3 linked regions of the Drosophila melanogaster genome follow. Changing the gene in region 2 together with the main gene of any one other region gives a genetic interaction. Each region holds a gene or a part of one and is shown on either strand. Other genes may lie near its edges. The genes, in order: slbo, trbl and Wee1.

The links.
Region 1: of trbl (region 2) and slbo, changing one suppresses a phenotype caused by changing the other (phenotypic suppression), as found in Drosophila melanogaster (2 studies listed by BioGRID).
Region 3: of trbl (region 2) and Wee1, changing one enhances a phenotype caused by changing the other (phenotypic enhancement), as found in Drosophila melanogaster (one study listed by BioGRID).

What each region holds. Positions count from the first base shown.
Region 1 is NT_033778.4:24,330,903-24,336,216, reverse strand, and holds slbo (slow border cells), read left to right. Parts: upstream 1-1,909; 5' UTR 1,910-2,446; coding exon 2,447-3,796; 3' UTR 3,797-4,695; downstream 4,696-5,314. UniProt on the Drosophila melanogaster protein: Required for the expression of gene products mediating border cell migration. Among the DNA sequences that this protein binds with high affinity is a conserved site within the promoter of its gene.
Region 2 is NT_037436.4:20,395,694-20,403,522, reverse strand, and holds trbl (tribbles), read left to right. Parts: upstream 1-1,913; 5' UTR 1,914-2,267; coding exon 2,268-3,097; intron 3,098-6,047; coding exon 6,048-6,672; 3' UTR 6,673-7,235; downstream 7,236-7,829. UniProt on the Drosophila melanogaster protein: Adapter protein that negatively regulates different signaling pathways to coordinate cell differentiation, proliferation, migration and growth.
Region 3 is NT_033779.5:6,910,514-6,915,882, reverse strand, and holds Wee1 (Wee1 kinase), read left to right. Parts: upstream 1-1,744; 5' UTR 1,745-1,955; coding exon 1,956-2,457; intron 2,458-2,601; coding exon 2,602-2,938; intron 2,939-2,994; coding exon 2,995-3,699; intron 3,700-3,800; coding exon 3,801-3,934; intron 3,935-4,030; coding exon 4,031-4,182; 3' UTR 4,183-4,793; downstream 4,794-5,369. Other genes in the region: CG32829 (uncharacterized protein), read left to right, coding at 1-200; x16 splicing factor, read left to right, coding at 483-840; Rat1 5'-3' exoribonuclease, read right to left, coding at 4,991-5,369. UniProt on the Drosophila melanogaster protein: Acts as a negative regulator of entry into mitosis (G2 to M transition). This kinase specifically phosphorylates and inactivates cyclin B1-complexed CDC2.

The sequences.
Region 1 (5,314 bases), on a different chromosome or scaffold from region 2:
AAATTTATTTTAAAAAATTTATGCTTTCAAGTTTTTATAAATAGGTAACTTTAGGTAAGCCTTGGACGATTCCAGTTAGCAGGAGGATAAGCAAATAAATAAATGACTTTGCTTTGCTTTAATCCCATTTAACCAGTAGTTTCTCCATAAACAATCTGATAAGATAAGGTGCACATGGATCGATCTTGCCTCATTTAAATTGCAGATTTCATCACCTTTCCCATCGATCGATATGGAATCAGTTCTTGGGTAACCAGACCGCACAATGCAATCCCCCAAGAACAATAAGGGTGCGTTGAATGCGTTTTGAAATACACCCGACCAGAAGAATATCTTTGTGGACGCACAAGGAAGCACTTTTGCACAATCTCGATGCAGTCATCGATATCGGCGATATTTCCGATTCGCTGCAATAGCTTGACTGATAAGCGAAGAAAAGTGGCTGTCCTGTCATCGACAGCGGAATACCCTCTTATCGTGCAACGGCGCACGGGGCGTATGATTAATAAAGTCCGGGTAAACAAAAGGTACATACACGAAGGCAGAAGACGGGGGCGAGAGGCGGGGCCGAAAGCAGGGGACGCACCTTCGGAAAGTAAACGACAACTTGACCCAAATTGCAGACTCGAAAACTCAGGAGAGTCAGCAGAGTGAGCAGAGTTAGCGGAGTGAGCACCAAGCAGAAGAGCGCCAATGGGGGAAAAGTGGAGAAGGCGACTTCACAAATCGCTGCATTTAAATAAACAAAACTACGAGCCGTGCTAATTTTTATGAATTTCATAACACAGTCTTAATTTTAATAAGACGTCGCTGCCTATTACGTGAAAGCTCCGCGATGCGTTGCGCTTCCACTGCGCAGTCACGCATGCGCGCCAAAAACAGGCCCCAATCCCCAAGCCCCCAATCCCCCGATCCACCAAGTAACTGCACTTCTGTGTTTTTTTTTGCTTTTCTGTATTTCTAAGGCGCAAAGCGAGTCGAAGCCCAAACACAAATCGGAGTGGGCAAGGCCCCAAAATGGGGGTCGGGGGTTACGCAGCGGAGTGCCGGTGTGTGCGGGCGTGGTGTTGTTGCTTCTCGCTGCGGCTGTGCGGCTCTTCTCCCAAAAAAAGCAAAAGCGACGGAACCGAAAATGAAAATGAAAACGAAAGCGAGAGCCAAGGAATAATGAGCGCTGGCTGCGCTGCCGACGTCGCGCGCTGCTGGTGTCTGTGCTCGCTTGAGCTTGTGTGGGTGCCTTGGGGCTCCCTTTTGTGTGACGTCACGCGATCGTGCGTTGCATTGAGTTTTATCATGAAATTCACTGCATCAGCGCATAACTAATACTGGATTCTAGGATGGGGTCTTAATTAAACAATTAATATCTAAACTAATATCTAAACTAACTTATGTGGAACATGTATAAATGTAATAAATTCTATATAAAAAATGTAATTATCCTATCAAATATGATATTAAGTTCCGGAAACTGAAGAAGTATCTCCCAGCTTCGTACCAAATGCACTTTGCTTGCATTCGTGCTTTTGGCCCGCACAGCAACCACAAGAATGGCCCAGTGAATTGCCTTGCGACGAGAGTAAAAGTGATTGGGAAAACTCTTGCTTTTTTACCTGATCGCGGCTCTCGCTCTCATCCACAGGTAGTTGCCTTTGCCTTTGCCTGGCTTACTTGTGCTTTGCCTGCTCTTGCTTTGCTTTTGCTCTGCTCGTGCTGTGCTGTGCTGCTGCCGCCTTTGCTTTGCTGTAACGGCGACGGCGACGGCAACGCTTGGGGCTTCGGTGTGGAGCGGTACGAGTGAATGTGTGTGTGTGTGTGTGTTACATGCGCTGGCCGCTCATTTTCTTTTTCTTCGGCTGCGTCGCTGCGCCAAAGACTTTTTCACTTTGCCGCGTTCGCGTTCGCGTTTTGTCACAGTTACAATTTACCACTCGTCGGCGACGGACGCGCGCTCTCCGCTGGCCAAGAAAATCCAAATCGAAGAAAAGCTCGCTCAGCTAACGGTTCTTCAGGAGCGTTTCTAACACCAGCACACGTACGTGTACGAGTACGAGAGTACTAGCCAACGGCAGTCGTCAGGCCGTCTCGTATAAAATCTGTTGCATCACTGCCGCGGCACTTCAGTCGTTCGAACGCGTGCGGCCGGAGAAGTGCAGTGTCGAGTTAACAAAGTAAACAAACTGAATAAAACATTTTGCGCTAAGAATCGGAAACATAATAAGCAATAGTACGATGCTCGGCTGCAGTGACCACCCAGGCAGCCTAAGATGAAGCATACGGAATAGCGAGCTATCCGAGTCGAACATTTCCAAAGACCCACTTCTTACCTCAGTGCAATGCTTTAGGCGCCAAACGAGCAAAAGTTTATTCCCAAATCTGAACTCTAAAAACAGCCAAAATTAACGCTCTACAAGGAATCAAGATTCTACCCTCCTTCGCGCAACTGAAAATGCTGAACATGGAGTCGCCGCAGATGTACGCCGATGCCGTTCAGACATTGGCCCAGCTGGACCTCAAGAAGGAGCCTCCCCTGCAGCAGGCCACCATTGGCCAGATCACACTGACGGCCATGTCCACGGCGCAGCAGCAGCAGCAACAACAGCAGCAGCAACAGCAGCAGCAACAGCAGCAGCAACAACAGCAGCAGCAGCAACCCCAGCAGCAGACTACCGATGCGAACAACAACACGTCGCAGGACGCGGCACTCCTGGTCAAGCAGCACGCCATGCACCAGATGCAACAGGTCGCCGCATTGGGCAGCAACAACAACCTGCTGCAGAAGCAGATGCTGCAGCAGTACTCCACTCAGACGGACCTGGACGAGCTGACCACCCAGGAGATCACGCTCGACCTGCAGCACCTGATAGACGACCAGTTCAGGGACACGGAAACGCTGGGCATCTTCAGCGACATGGTGACCAGTCCGGGCGGACTCTCGGCCACCCTGCCGCCGAGCGGAATGGTCTCGGCGGCGGCGAAGGTCCTGCAGCAGCAGACCCTGCGGAACCAGCACGGCTACGGGGGCAGGGGAGGCGGTGGCGGAGCAGGAGGCGCCCTGGCCTACATGCCGCAGCCCGTGCACGCCACCTACAACAATTCCAGCGACGAGAACAGCTCCGTGGGCTCCGACTCCAGCACGATCAAGGAGGAGCCCATCGACCCCGAGTACAGGCGGCACCTGCAGGAGGCGGCTAGCCAGCAGGCCGCCTTCATGGGCAATGGAGCAGGCCTGTACAACGGCTACGGATCGGGGGCGAATGGCTTGACCGGGGGCGGAAACCCACTCAACGGAGGCAACACCACGCCCAGCAGCAACGGGAGCAACGGCAGCACGGGCAGCAGCAACGGCAGCCAGTTCACCAACCTGACGACGGCCAACGTCCTGGCGCACCACAACCTGCCCCACCTGGCGGCCGCAGCAGGAGCACACAATCTGCTCAAGCAGCACAGCAAGCTGCACGCGCAGCAGCAGCATCAGCAGCACCAGCAACAGCAGCAGCACCGCAAGCACAGCAACAAGCATGTGGACAAGGGCACGGATGAGTACCGCAGGCGGCGGGAGCGGAACAACATAGCGGTGCGCAAGAGCCGGGAGAAGGCTAAGGTGCGCTCCCGCGAGGTGGAGGAGCGCGTGAAGAGCCTGCTCAAGGAGAAGGACGCCCTCATTCGGCAGCTTGGTGAGATGACCAACGAGCTGCAGCTACACAAGCAGATCTACATGCAGCTAATGAACCACGCCAATCCCGAAGTGAGCCGCGTCTGCCGCAGCTTCCTCAACACCAACGAACACTCGCTGTAGCCGCTGCCAGCTAAAGCCAGTGTCCTGCGAGTTCTGTGTGTGCGTGAGTGCTTGAATGCTTGAGTGCTCGTGTGTGTGTGTGTATGAGTGTGTGAGTGCTCCAGCCGTAAGTGTGTGCGTGTGAGCGAGACTCTGCTAAATCAAAGATACAAATGCTGTGTGGGTAGCTCGTAAGGTTCATTCTCCTCCTGCTCCTCATTGTCCTCTCTGGCCGTAGACGATGGAGCGGTCGCGCCAAGTTGGTGGGCCGCTGCATCGCTTGGAGACCAAACTCTTCTGCCGATCGCTGTGGCATTCCTTGTACATTTACTCTGTCCCCATTTCTTGTTATCACTGTAAAGCATATTTTTGTACTTAATTCTAATTCTTAACGACTGTAACATATATATTTCGCACGTTTTTATACATAATCTTATACATTATATCTATCATAAAGTTAAGCCAAAGAAAAATGTTAAAAATATTAATGTAAAAAAGAATAACACGCAGGAACGAAGAACGAAAATACAAACTTCAAAACCTATTAACTATTTATACATCTAATTCAAATGTGTACAGTTCTCGACGGTGTGCGGCTTCGCTCTATGCTTGATGCCACGCCCACTCCCACGCCCAGCCCTGCTTGACACACAACATTAGCAAATCTCTAGTTCGTAAGTCGGAGAATCAAGCATCGCTTTACCTGCACAATCCCCAGAGGAAAGCCTCCCGAAATCAACCAACTTGTAGCGAATTCCACGGGTTCGCTTCCGAGAGCGTAGAAGATATGAATGCTATTAATTGTAAGGCAAACGCAATGTTCTCATTTTAATTTATATATTCGTAAATTAAATATACACAAACAAAGAAAACTGTAAAGCAAATCTAAACAAATTAAATAAAATTTACCTTATACAAAGAATCGGCTTGTCGTGCGTTTTGACTAAAACCCAAATGAATTTCAGATAACTTCTTAATTTCCACAGTTCAACTACCAATCTGCAATTAGCCCTAGCCACAATTTGATGCAAAAGCCCTGCCAAAAAGTGTCTAATTAAATGTCGGCCATACTTGGGCGACAAAACGATACGCTGGGCGAAGACCAGAAAGAGACGCACCACCACCGCATTGGGAGGGCAGGGTCTTTCTTCTGTCCGCCGTCTTCTGTCTTCGCTGTCTTCGCTGTCTTCCGATGGGACAAATACGACAAGGCAATGCATTTCGGGCTGCCAGGCGCGACACTGGGCCAATTGCAGGGAGGAAGGAGGGCGAAGTGGAGGACCCCAGACAATCGCAAGGCGGCCGTGTTGACACAATTTGACAGTAAGACAAACCCGAAACGAAAAGCAAATTTATAAACGACAAAGCGAAAAAGAATTAATGCAACTCGAGAAACCGACAAATTAACGCGCCAGAGAAAGCCCAAACAAAAGCCACAGAGCCACGGAGCCAGAGAGCCAAAAAACGCATGCCGACCTGGGGCAGATAATCACTTACAGACATTTGGGCTCGGGCTAAGCCCTTTTGGTCAAAACTTTC
Region 2 (7,829 bases):
GCAAATAAGTATGTCGTATGCAAATAAAATATTTTTCAAATTCAATTTGATGTCGCCACCCCTATAATTTCCCCCCTTTTCGGTTGCATTGGTGTCACGGTACCAGTATAATTCTCGTTTCAATCTTCCTTTCGAGAAACAGATGCAAGACTTTGGAAAAGGGACGGGCGAAAAGAGAGGTTTGTTGGTGTTATTTGTTCTGTTCGCGATTTTCGCATTCGTATTTATCGGCTACTTCGTGGGAAGAAGAAGCAAAGACGGACGTTGCGTTTCAAAAAGAGCGTTACAATATGAAGAATTCAATCGAAGAGATCGGTGAAAACCAATGGACGAAATACAAGCCTGCATAAACAGTTGCGGTGAAAATATTAGTATTCAAAATCCCAGTATCCCAGAATGAAAAAATTCAAAACTAAATGAGTTATATCTAACCTACAATTGTACCAATTCTATCAACGATTTTAAAAATACATTTTTCAGGTCTTTTAGTCCAACAATTCGGTCTTAAAAATTATATTTAAAGACCCTCATTTCCAATTACTAAAGATTCGATTGCGATAGTTCCTATTATTGTGACCGCGAATGTGCTCCTGTGTATCCTCAGACGGATGTCTTTAGTGGGAAATCACCTTGCGCCAGCTGCAACTGCAACTGCATCGCATGTACAGCCCTGCACCGATGCACTATATCTGCCATATAGTGCTTAGGGGTGGAATAGTGCAGCTGACATATGTATGTAGGAATCTACCTGCGACATAATGCCGCTCGGTGGTTCTTACCTGCTCCTTGAGGATCTCGGATAACTGCCTTCTGTTGCTGTCGTAATTCCTGCGTAGCCCAGTGATCCTCGTTTCGGACAGCTGCAAAAATCATGAAATCGTCTGCACCGCGAGGTAAACAGCAAGGTAAATCCACATACACACACACAAATGAGTAATGATCTCGCACAGGAAAAAATTCAATGATCGATTTGGATCCAAGAGATTGAAGCGTTATTTGAAGATTCGAGTTTGGGAGCATTTATTTAAATTCTAGGATTTACTAGAACTATGTTTGTACATCTGAAATGTCCATCTGTGGTCATATACTTAGGGATATAAGAGATCTTAATCTGGAGTATTAAGAAGACAAATTTCTTAATTTTAAATTTGTATGTATATTAGGATATTAAAATGTTTTATGTTTTATGTTTTTTTATAATAATAGTAGTTTGCAAAGCAACTACTCAAAAACTGCACATCATCATTGAATTTGGTTTAAAAATTTCGTAACTATGGGAAAACAAATAATTTCAACCAAACTTGTAAAATATTACCTTATCAGAGCAGGAGAAAACCTTAAGTATCCAAGCCAAGAAACCACAAAAGATATTTTCGAGTTATAGAGATGGTTATACGGGTGTTTCTGCCTTCGATATCCGTACCCGTACTCAATAAAACAAAATCGAAGTTCAAGCTGACTGTACTTTCATTAATTTGATCTTAAAACTGTGGATTTTATCAGTTTACTAACCCCCTCTAATTAACTTATCGCCACGATTTATTGGTGCGCAGATTACTACGTAAAATCGTAGAAGAAAAGTTTAAGGGTTGCTGTGGGTATAGTGTTCATACAGCTACGTATTTCGAATTCAGTTGGAATCGGAATTTCAGCGTTCAGCGCAATTTTTTCAAAAATAACGATGCTCTTGTTCTTTCTCTCTCTCCCAACCATTTGGATTTCAAAAAATAACGACGCTCTCTGGTCTCCCACTTCTCTTTCCATTCCGACCGCATTGAGCTAAATTCCTGCAACGGGTGTGAGCGAGGCAGAGAAGGATCGGTGCAGTGAGAGCGAGCAAGAGGGTGCGAAAGAGAGCCGTTGTATTTCGCCGTTCTCTTCGCTTCGTGCTTCTTCCGACCGCGTGGATGGTCACATTTGAAATTCAAACTGCGGAGAAGACGGTCGCGTTCGTTTCGTTTCGCGAGTTCAGTGAGCAGCGTCCGATTTGTTTTAAAATCGCCGCATTTCGTCAGTACCCGCATTGCAAATGGCCAAACTACCGAAGTAGTAGTAGCCCTGAGTTTAAACGAGAGTTTAAATCGAATTTAATCGGAGACTAAACGGCGCGTCGCTAAATGTCAAAACAATTAACAGCCAAGTACAGCCAGGCTAAAGCGGAGTAACAAAATTAGTAAGAAGAAGCATTAGCAGAGAATAAGACGAAGAAAACGTAGCGAGAGCAAGAACTGTGATAAAGTTAAGTGAAGTGGTAAACACAAGCAAGCATGGATAACAGTAGCGGTCAAAACAGCAGAACGGCTTCGTCAGCGTCCACAAGCAAAATAGTCAACTATTCGTCACCAGTCTCGCCAGGAGTCGCAGCCGCCACCTCCTCATCCTCATCATCCAGCAGCAGCGGCATGAGTAGCAGCCAGGAGGACACCGTACTGGGATTATTTACGCCCAAAAAGGAGTTCCCCAATGCCAAGATGCTGCAGACCATCAGGGAGAAGCTAATGACGCCCGGCGGAGCCTGTGACCTTCTGGCCCTGGGCATCGCAGCGGAACCCACAGACCAGCAGCCCGTCAAGCTCATCCAACAGCGTTATCTGATCAGCGCACAGCCTAGTCACATATCGGCCGCCGTGGCTGCCAAGACTCCCGCCTCGTATCGCCACTTGGTCGATCTAACCGCCTCCAATCTGCGCTGCGTGGACATCTTCACCGGGGAGCAGTTCCTCTGCCGTATTGTAAACGAACCGTTGCATAAGGTGCAACGAGCCTACTTTCAGCTGCAGCAGCACGACGAGGAGCTACGCCGGAGCACCATCTATGGCCATCCACTGATCCGACCCGTGCACGATATCATACCGCTTACCAAGGATCGCACCTACATCCTCATTGCGCCCGTGCCCCAGGAGAGGGACTCCACGGGTGGGGTGACCGGGGTGTACGAGAACCTGCACACCTACATCCGCCACGCGAAGCGACTGTGCGAGACGGAGGCGAGGGCCATATTCCACCAGATCTGTCAGACTGTTCAGGTGTGCCACCGCAACGGGATTATCCTCAGGGACCTCAAGCTCAAGCGGTTCTACTTCATCGACGAGGCCAGGTGAGTTGCGTGTCCAGGTGACACCTTCGAAAAACCCATATACACCAATATACGCCACATATGCCTGACTTATACCAACTCAATTGCATATGGCTGGCTAGTCGGTTTATTTTGCAATTCGATGGAAACTCGTTATGAGCGAGAGATCTTGTTTGTGGTCGTGTGTTGGTGGTGCCACAATTGTTGCTCTTGTTATTGGCCCATGTTGTTGTAGTTGCTGCTGCTGCTGCTGTTGTTGCTTTTGTTTTTGTTGCTGGCGCCGTCGTTGTGGGTAACATTGAACATTTAACAAGTGTTGCAATCGAATCACCAATAGGCCAACAACAACAATTATACTGACAAACCGAATGAACGCAAGGCGTACGTATGTACAGCACAGGGTATAATGGTAGTTTCAAACTAATTTTATAAGTAAAAATATATTCCTACTATGCGAAGCATTGCAAAAATGAATGGGAATAAGATCAAAAATGTTAAATAATTTCAAAGATAAGTTTTTGAAATACACCTATTATTAAACTATTAATTAACATGGTGTATTAGCTTTGTAGCTAAAGAATTATTATTTATGTAATATCATTGAATTGCCATTCAGTGAGCAAGCATATGCCTTATTTTGCAGACCCCGACTGTATCTCTGTGTACATACTCGTACACAAGGGCCCAATGTGCCACACTGATGGCCAAAATGTTGGCTCACTCGTTTTTTCATTACACATTTCGGAAGCTAGAAATTGCCACATTTCAAGAATTGTTCAACATAGCATTTGCAATATGGTTTTGGGGTGGGGATCTGTGGGCCACGTACTCGGCGTTCGCTTGATTTGTCGATTTCCCGTGTGTGAGTTTACAGTGGATGATGAAATATTGACCCCACCTTCATCGAAAATGTATTTTCGCATATGTTAATTAACACAACTGTATCGAAAACGCGCTGTCTCCCGTTCTTATTATCTTCGAAATTGTACTGACATCAGCATGGAACGACTTGAACATTTGGTCGATTTCGTATGACTCTGCAATTAGCGCAATATCTGCTGATTTTTTCGTCATTTCGTCGTTCTGTGCCAAGTGCAAAACGGCGGAAGGAAGAAACCAACCCATAGATCTCTATCTATACTATACTTCTCTCACCTTGGCGAGAAATAAACAACAAGTGTTCAATACGACTCAAATGCGCTGCGATTACTGGCGCTCACTTCCATTCCCATTTCCATTCGAATAATACATCGCTATATAGATAAGTGCTCGCTGGGTGTACATACATACTATATGGGCTATGGGCGTGGCCATATCCATATCTACATATGTCCAACGGGGCGGCCACACACACGCACAACCAAATAACGAGCCGAATTTTTAAGGTCACAGTGCGGTGAATGTCCCTGACTCTGATCTTCTGTATTTGAACGCATTTATGTACATGCATATATGCCAGTGCCTCCCATATACAAATGCGTATGCTTATGCATGTAAAAATCTCTGGTTCATACTTTTATTTTGTCTACTCTTTTGCCGTACGTAAATACTTCCAAGGTGTTTGAGCATTTATGCGGCGCCGGTTTTCCGTATTTCGTTTCGATTCCGATTTTATTTTAACCTCTGTCGCGGGTTAATGTGTGCCAAACGTATAGAGCGAGAGAGAGAGAGAGAGGGAAAGAAGAGATCCACAAGACGCTCTTCAAAGCTCGGTTATGTCGCGCATCGAGGTCAGCAGCTGTAACTATTCTCCTCATCACATCTCCACCTGCCTTCCGTGCACTCAAAAATATAAATATTGGTTCACATAAAACCTTGATCTTAAAAGTATAATTATATATGCTTGCCTTGATCTTAAATATAAGTTTATAATGTTTCTGTATCGAATGGGGTAACTAGACGATAGAGGACACAAAAATCAAATGAAACCCGAAAACAAATGTATAGAAACATGCTCTTAATTAAGAACCGTGTTCTTTGAATATATTATTTAAATGCGCTATCTCTTTTCCCTCTTATTGATTGCCCACCTGTTGCTATCAAGTTGAAGGTAATTTGTTTCTTTCAGTGTACACTGTGATTTGTGCCGAGGAGAGGCGCGTTTTCAAAGCTTGTTTTTGTTCAGGGTCAGCTCGAGGTTTTTTTGGCCTGCTTTGTGTTTGGCTCTTTGGATGTTTGGATACCAGACCGCGGCGACCGTGTGTTTGTATATCGCTCCGTTCGCTATCGGCGGAATACCCAATGTTGGTAGTGGTGCTCGGGTCCCAGCAGAAGCGCCGTTGCAGCAACAAGTTGCGATACGTCACTCCACCTCACCTTACTACTCACGCAGCTCACACAGCGGACTCTCTTTGGATCTATGCGCTGTGCTCGCTGGCGTTTTCGTTACTTTTTTGCTTTTTGCATTCGAATGTGGGCCAATGTCAATGGAGTGGAGTGGCCCAATGGAGGGGGAGTGGAGTGGAGTGCAGGGGCGGAGGCGGCGGCGGCGGCGGCACTCGCTCATGGGTGTCGGGGGTCGCAAGCTGCGCTTTCGTCACCAATCCAAGTCAACTCAGCTCAGCTCACAATGTGCTCTCTCGGCCAATTTGCCTTTTGACTTGTCAATACGCCAACGCCAAAGACAACTACAACTGAAACTGAAGCTCCGTGGCCGATCGATTCAAGTCTCTTCGATATTGCGCTAGCTAATGGCCCCACAAAATCGGGGGTTATGCAAGTCCCAGGGATTGCACATGATGTAGAGCTCGACGATGGGTCTGATGAACGGGTACAGTTGCGATCAGAATAGTGGCAGTGCCAACTCAAGTTGCAGTCATATCTACTCTTCTTTGGCAACAATAGTTCTCAACATATTAATAGAAACGGGTAAAAAAAAGACTGTTAGTTTTATTTCTAAGAAGCATAAACATATATTTTGTACCCTATTTTGGCGGATTATTTATTCGATTTTGTCATTTGCTAATTACAGAACGAAACTGCAGTATGAATCACTGGAAGGCTCAATGATCCTCGACGGCGAGGACGATACTCTGAGCGACAAGATCGGTTGCCCACTGTACACCGCTCCAGAACTGCTGTGCCCCCAGCAAACGTACAAGGGCAAACCGGCGGACATGTGGTCGCTGGGCGTGATCCTGTACACCATGTTGGTGGGTCAGTACCCGTTCTACGAGAAGGCCAACTGCAACCTCATCACCGTCATACGCCACGGGAATGTCCAGATACCCCTGACGCTGTCTAAGTCGGTGCGATGGCTGTTGCTTTCGCTGCTGCGGAAGGATTACACGGAACGAATGACCGCCAGCCACATCTTCCTTACCCCGTGGCTGCGAGAGCAGCGCCCCTTCCACATGTACCTGCCAGTCGACGTGGAGGTGGCCGAGGACTGGAGCGATGCGGAGGAGGACGAAGGCACTGCCGCCGATGCGATGGATGATGACGAGGAAGGACTCTGTCCCTTGGGTGACAAGCACGAGTACGAGGACATTGGCGTGGAGCCATTGGACTACACGCGCTCCACGCTCCAAATGGCTCAGAATGCCAATGGGCTGTCCACGGAACCCGAACCCGATACGGATGTGGACATGGGCTGATTGGAGCTCGTGGAGTCACCCACGGGTTGCATTCTGGGACACGCTGGCGCGTTGGCTGCATCCGGCTGAATGCCGACTGATTAGCCGCCGGGACTGGGCATATCGGATGATATGACACTGTGGACATCCTGGCCTTCCGGGTCGCGCCGACTCCGACTGCGTTCCACGTCGTCTTCCTGCAGGTGGTACTGCCAACAAAGACTTAAAGCTTAGACACACAAGAACTCACTGCCTTCCAATCGCGCTGCAGCCCCGATTCGATTCGTTCAAGAATCACGCCGCTCCGCAGCCTCCTCTCTGCAACCGATTCTTCCTAAAACCTACCTATGTACAATACATTTAACATTTTAATTTTTTTGCAAACTGTTGATCTTATCAAAGGACAGTCGCCCTGATTTGCTTTTGGGCTTTAAAACACATTAGTTTCCATGTTAAAAAATGCAACGAATGCAAATTGTTATTTATTATTTAATACTTCTGTATTACGCTTTGTGTACTCTTAAAATCTTGTAAGTGAAAATTGCAAAAAAGAACATAATACATTGAAATTTGATCTCACCAAGAATAATTCGAATTTGTTTCTTTAGGGCTCTGGGGTAAAAAACGCTGTTTTTATTTATTGACACAAGATTGTAAATATTTATAAATGTGTAATTAGTCAACCAGACTATGAGCTTAACATGAAGATTCTAGATTCTCAAGAAGCGGAAGGCTACAAAAGATGAAAACAATGAGTCAGGGGAAAATACGATTTTTTGGTTCTAGATGCGTCATATTGTGTACTAGTAAAATTCAACATTTGATTAAGATCAGATAATGTTTGGTCAAAAATATGAAAACAAAACTGTCCAATCTATTTTCTTCATGAAGGAGATTAATGAATAGTTCACGTCACAAAATCGAGAATTCTCTCGAGTGTCGAAAGTCAACAAATTAGTTATTGTTGTTGCTGAGATTCCCATTACCGAGCAGCAGATTCCCAACCTGATAATGCAACCCAGTGACTGGAAGTTATCAGGTGGGCGAACGTGACTTTGGCTACGGAAATATTTGCGACTTTGCTCCACAATAGCAGTAAACTAATATTGTGAATAGCTGCTGAATGCGGAGGTCCCACCACTGTCATCTGATGTGCCGACGTGACGGGGACTTTCGCA
Region 3 (5,369 bases), on a different chromosome or scaffold from region 2:
AAAAGCACGAGGGCGGCAAAAAGAAGGGTCACAAGAAGCACCACGGACACTACAAGAAGGGTCACCACGACGAGGACCACAAGAAGTACAAGAAGGAGCACAAGTACGGCGACAGCTTCGAGGAGAAGAAGGAGCACGGCGAGAAGGGCTCCAAGAAGCACGGCCACAAGCACTACAAAAAGAAGGGCGGCAAGCATTGAGCAAGCTATATTATACATGTGATCTTTATGTGAAATGCAGAATTAAAACTGGGAGAGGTTCTAGAATATTATACTGTCTTGTGTTTTATTCAATAAGCTGTTAAAACTTAATCTGCTAAAAGCTAGTTTTGATACTTACAATGTTTCAAATAATATAGCACACTATAATATATTTAAATGTATTAGTATATTAGTATATACATATATAAGGTAGCTTAAATTGTTACGTTTTTTGAAAAGCCTGATAGCTAATCACGACGATTTATCCCATTTCATTTCCAGAAGCAACTCATTCAGCAGATCTCGGAGCACATCGCGACGCAGGCGCACTCGCTCCAAGTCCGGAACTCGATCCCGCAGTCGCTCCGCCGGCTCGGTGGGCCGTCGCTCCGGCCGCTCGAACGGACGGGACGAGAACGGATCGGCGTCGAGGTACAGCGACCACGAGCGCAACGGCAGTGGAGCGGTAGATTCACCGCCGCCGCCAAAACGGCGCTATGAGGATGAGGACGATGACCGGGTTAGGGGATCGCCGCGGTCGCGTTCCCGATCTCGATCGGCGTCGCCAGCGGTGCGCCGTGGATCGCCGCCCAGGCGTCGTGGTGACTCGTCCGCCTCACGATCCGTTTCAAGGGACTAGCGACAGCGAACGGATGCAGACGGAGCCCGACATGCGATGATGAGGGCCGGAGCTGCAACCCCCCGATGAATCCGGCGAGATGGGCTCTCCACGCACTGGACTCTAATCCTCATTCCCAAAAGAAACAACCTCACGTGTAACAAGACAGATTCCCAAATACTTTTTCATGCAGTATCCATCTAAGGTTTTTAGTTGTCCAAAACCATATTAGTTAAGGGTTTTAATTTATAGTGGAACTCGAGTTTGCATATTTAGGTATTCTAATGTTCCAACACAACAACAAATACAAGCACACGCAGAACAAAGGAGAGCGCTTCGGAAAATCATTTGACGGAAGGAAATTTAAGATATAGAAATGTATCGGCAGCCGCAGATTAACGATCTAGTCAGGATTGCTATGTAAATTGATTTGCCTTGGATTTTATTTTGCTTACCCTGGAATTATACTCGAATGTGCAGAGGACGAAGCATCGCCACCATTTTCATGTCAATTTTACACAATTTTCAATTTATGCAACACAACAACTTGATTATTTGACTCCAATCTCTGTATGATGTGTTTCTATATTCGTAATAATTAAGTATTGCAACAGTGCATAATAATTATTCATACATTGATGTCATAGTTAAGTATTAAAAAAATACATATGTATGGATTCTTGAGATGTGTGTTTGAATTATGTAGCAAATGCGCTGAACACTAAAATACAGATATTCAATCAATAAATTAAATGCCAAAATTAGTTGTTTTCCATTTGAATTTGGCGGGCTTTATGCGGTCTTGAACAAGTCTGGTCACTCAGTTTAGAAGTAGGTGCGCATTATTTAAATTGGTATTTTTGCCAGATGTTTAGTATTTTGTTTGTTTGGTAACTCTGCACTTCCAGTTACTTAGTATTTTTTCAGTCAGAGCTGGTATTTTATTGCGCATCGGGTACGGCCACATTATTAGACTAGCATTCCTCCAGTTAAATTTTGTTTTGTGTTTTGTTTTGCATTTTTTTTAACTATTGCCTTTACTTTACTGCCGCCGGCTTCCATACAAATAGTTCTGAAATCAGAAATAACGAACAGAATCGTCTTTCAACGTGGTCAGCTGGACAGCTACAGCAACAATGGCATTCCGCCAGTCGGAGCACGAGATGAGCGTCACCTCACTCGATTCAAGCGTCGAACTGAGATCGCGTTCGCCATCGCCGCAGGTCTTCAATCCGCGCAAGCTCCGCTTCGCCGATGATGACTTTGACAAGGACACGCCCGAGGGAGCGAGTCCGCAGCATCCCCTTCAGCAGCGGCCGAAGCTATCCTCCGGTGAGGAGCAGCAGCTGGACAGTAAGATAGGCAAAGAAGGCGGCGACGGGGACGTGTCCATGTCGCCGCCATGCCAAAAGGTGCGGGCCCTGCGACTCTTTAGCACACCGGCCACTCCAAAGACCATCCTGCAGAAGTCGACGACGCAGTGCAGCAACCATCTGTCGGCGGCAGCAGCGGCAGTGAATGCCTCCAGGCGCAGCGACGACCTCTTCCGCCTGTCAGAGCGCCCGCGATCTCTGCCACTGCACAACCGCAAACTGCCCACCCAGGACACGGCAAATGTGAACCCCTTCACGCCAGATAGTAAGTTTAAAACGTTTCTCGCTTTTGATATTTTAATTAAATAAAGGTATCAATTTCCAGTTCGTTGCTTTAATTTGCACTCCACTTTAACCCATCCCAGCTTAGTCTTATTAGCAATCTAATAATCATTTTTTTTATTTTTAGGCCTCATGGCTCACAATAAGAAGCGCTGTCGCACGCAATTCGGACGCGAAAACCTCAACCTGAACGTGAATGCTATGCAAAAGTATTTGCTCAGTGATGCCTGCGACGACGATGTGACGGAGGAGGCGGGCGACTCGATGCGCGAAATCCACCAGCAGGCACCCAAGCGGCTGGCCCTGCACGACACGAACATCAGTCGCTTCAAGCGGGAGTTCATGCAAGTCAACGTAATCGGCGTTGGCGAGTTCGGTGTGGTGTTCCAATGCGTCAATCGACTAGATGGCTGCATATATGCGATTAAAAAGAGTAAGAAGCCGGTGGCAGGCAGTTCTTTCGAGTGAGTATTCATTAGTTATTGCAACGAGCGTCGTTTAACAATCTATTTGCTTGCAGAAAGAGAGCCCTGAACGAGGTCTGGGCCCATGCTGTATTGGGCAAGCACGATAACGTGGTTAGATACTATTCCGCGTGGGCGGAGGACGATCATATGCTGATACAGAATGAATTCTGCGATGGTGGCAGCTTGCACGCGCGCATCCAAGATCATTGTTTGGGTGAGGCAGAGCTAAAGATTGTTCTCATGCATGTGATAGAGGGCCTACGCTATATTCATTCAAATGACCTGGTGCACATGGATCTGAAGCCCGAAAACATATTCTCCACCATGAATCCCAATGCACACAAGCTGGTGGAGGTGCAGCCGCAGCAGACCAAAGATGACGATGGCATGGACAGCGTCTATGAAGAACTGCGCCATTCAGAGAATCTGGTTACGTACAAGATCGGCGACCTGGGACACGTGACCTCCGTTAAGGAACCCTACGTCGAGGAGGGAGACTGTCGTTACCTGCCCAAGGAGATCCTTCACGAGGATTATTCGAATCTCTTCAAGGCCGACATATTTTCCCTGGGCATCACGCTGTTCGAGGCGGCCGGCGGTGGTCCGCTGCCTAAAAATGGACCCGAATGGCACAACTTGCGAGATGGCAAGGTGCCGATTCTGCCGAGCCTGAGCAGGGATTTTAACGAGCTCATAGCCCAGATGATGCATCCTTATCCCGACAAGAGGCCCACTTCGCAGTCTATATTCAGTCATCCGTAAGTAAATTGAGTCGACAGTATAAGCGACAATCATATTTAGTTGCATTTAAGATAAATGTGCTCACACTAAATACATATAATGTTCGTTTAATTTGCAGAATTCTGAGTGCTGTTGACTCCAAGAGCAAGCTGCAGCTCGGCCTGGAGCTGACCGTGGAGAAGCGCAAGAACGAGATACTGATGAACAAGCTGAGAGAGGCCAAAAAACAGATTAAACTGCTCGAGCAACGAGGTAAGATAAGATAAATAGTTGTATAACAACTTAAACTTTAAGGTGGTTGGTTATCTGGATGTTTACAATTTCTAACGTTTCTGCAACTCATTTTAGTCAATCTTCTTGCGGTGACTAACAATCCGGACAGTCTGGATGGACAGCGTTGCCTTCGCAGCTTCACGCGACGCATGCGCACGCCATTCTCCAGCCATGGCAAGTTCGACAGCATATCCGATCGCAACAAGAACGTTATCACCAATATCTGATAAGCTCGCAACAGATGCCGAACCGATAGCTAAACTCTTCCGAATCGAACGTGAACTAAGCTCACATTGTGTTACCTTTTAAGCGTATTCATATAATCGATACATATTTCTAACTATTCGCTTTCGTTTAAGCTCATGGATTTTGAAGCATTCGTAAATATAATCTATATATTTTTCAAGCTCAGTGAACTTTTCCCTGTTAAGAAAGCACAATCGTTTTAAGAAAAGCCCCTTGTAAACTTTAAGATTCTCGCATAGTTGTAATGAGTATTGTTTTCGAAATTAAAATATTTATTATGTTACATGGAAATCGAAATAATAACATTCCATTCGTTAAATATAGCGAATGCTATTCCATAAAAACTACTGGATTTATTATGACTCCGGATTTAAAACAAAATGTTTGCGAAGTTTTTCTTAAATTCAATTGTTTACTCCACTAGAAATTGTTTTGATATTATCCAATTTCCTGTCAAATTATGTTCCATTTTCCTTATCTGAAAATAACAATCGTCTCATTTTTTTGTATTATCCAGCTAGTTTGCTTTTTTTACGCAATCAATGGAAAGAGAAATGATCATTATTGTAATTTGACTTATTTTCTTTGAGGCACTAAGACTAGATGTTGGCTGTAAGCTGCTTTGATAGAAATGCAATGGGTATTTCATTTAAAGAACAAACTCAGAACTTGGCATGAGTTTGTTTGGAAATCCTTAATCAGTATATTTTCTTCATTAAAAAATAATGTAAATTAATATGGATTACACTTTTGTTATGCGCTACATATTATATTGTTTGTATGATACACCTAAAACCGTCTATAATTCTGATTCTGTTGCCTGCTGCCGCCTTGTTGCTGGTAGTTGTTGTTCCTTGGACCATTATAGTTGTTAAAGTTGCGCTGCTGCTGATTCGAATTGTCCTGGTTGAATCTCTGATTGTGGCCATATTGCTGCTGCTGTCGGTTATTGTAGTTGTTTTGATAGCCGCCACCCTGGTGCTGATTGTAGTTATTGTTGTAGTTGTAGTTATAGTTTCGGCTATTGTTCTGATAGCTCTGTCCTTGGTTTCCGCCTATTCCCTGGCCGTAGCCGCCTCCTTGCCCGTAGCCTCCTCCTCCACCTCCATTGCCACCGCCACCCTGTTGGTTCCTTATGCCAGCGTTCAGCATGCGGTGACCACTATCC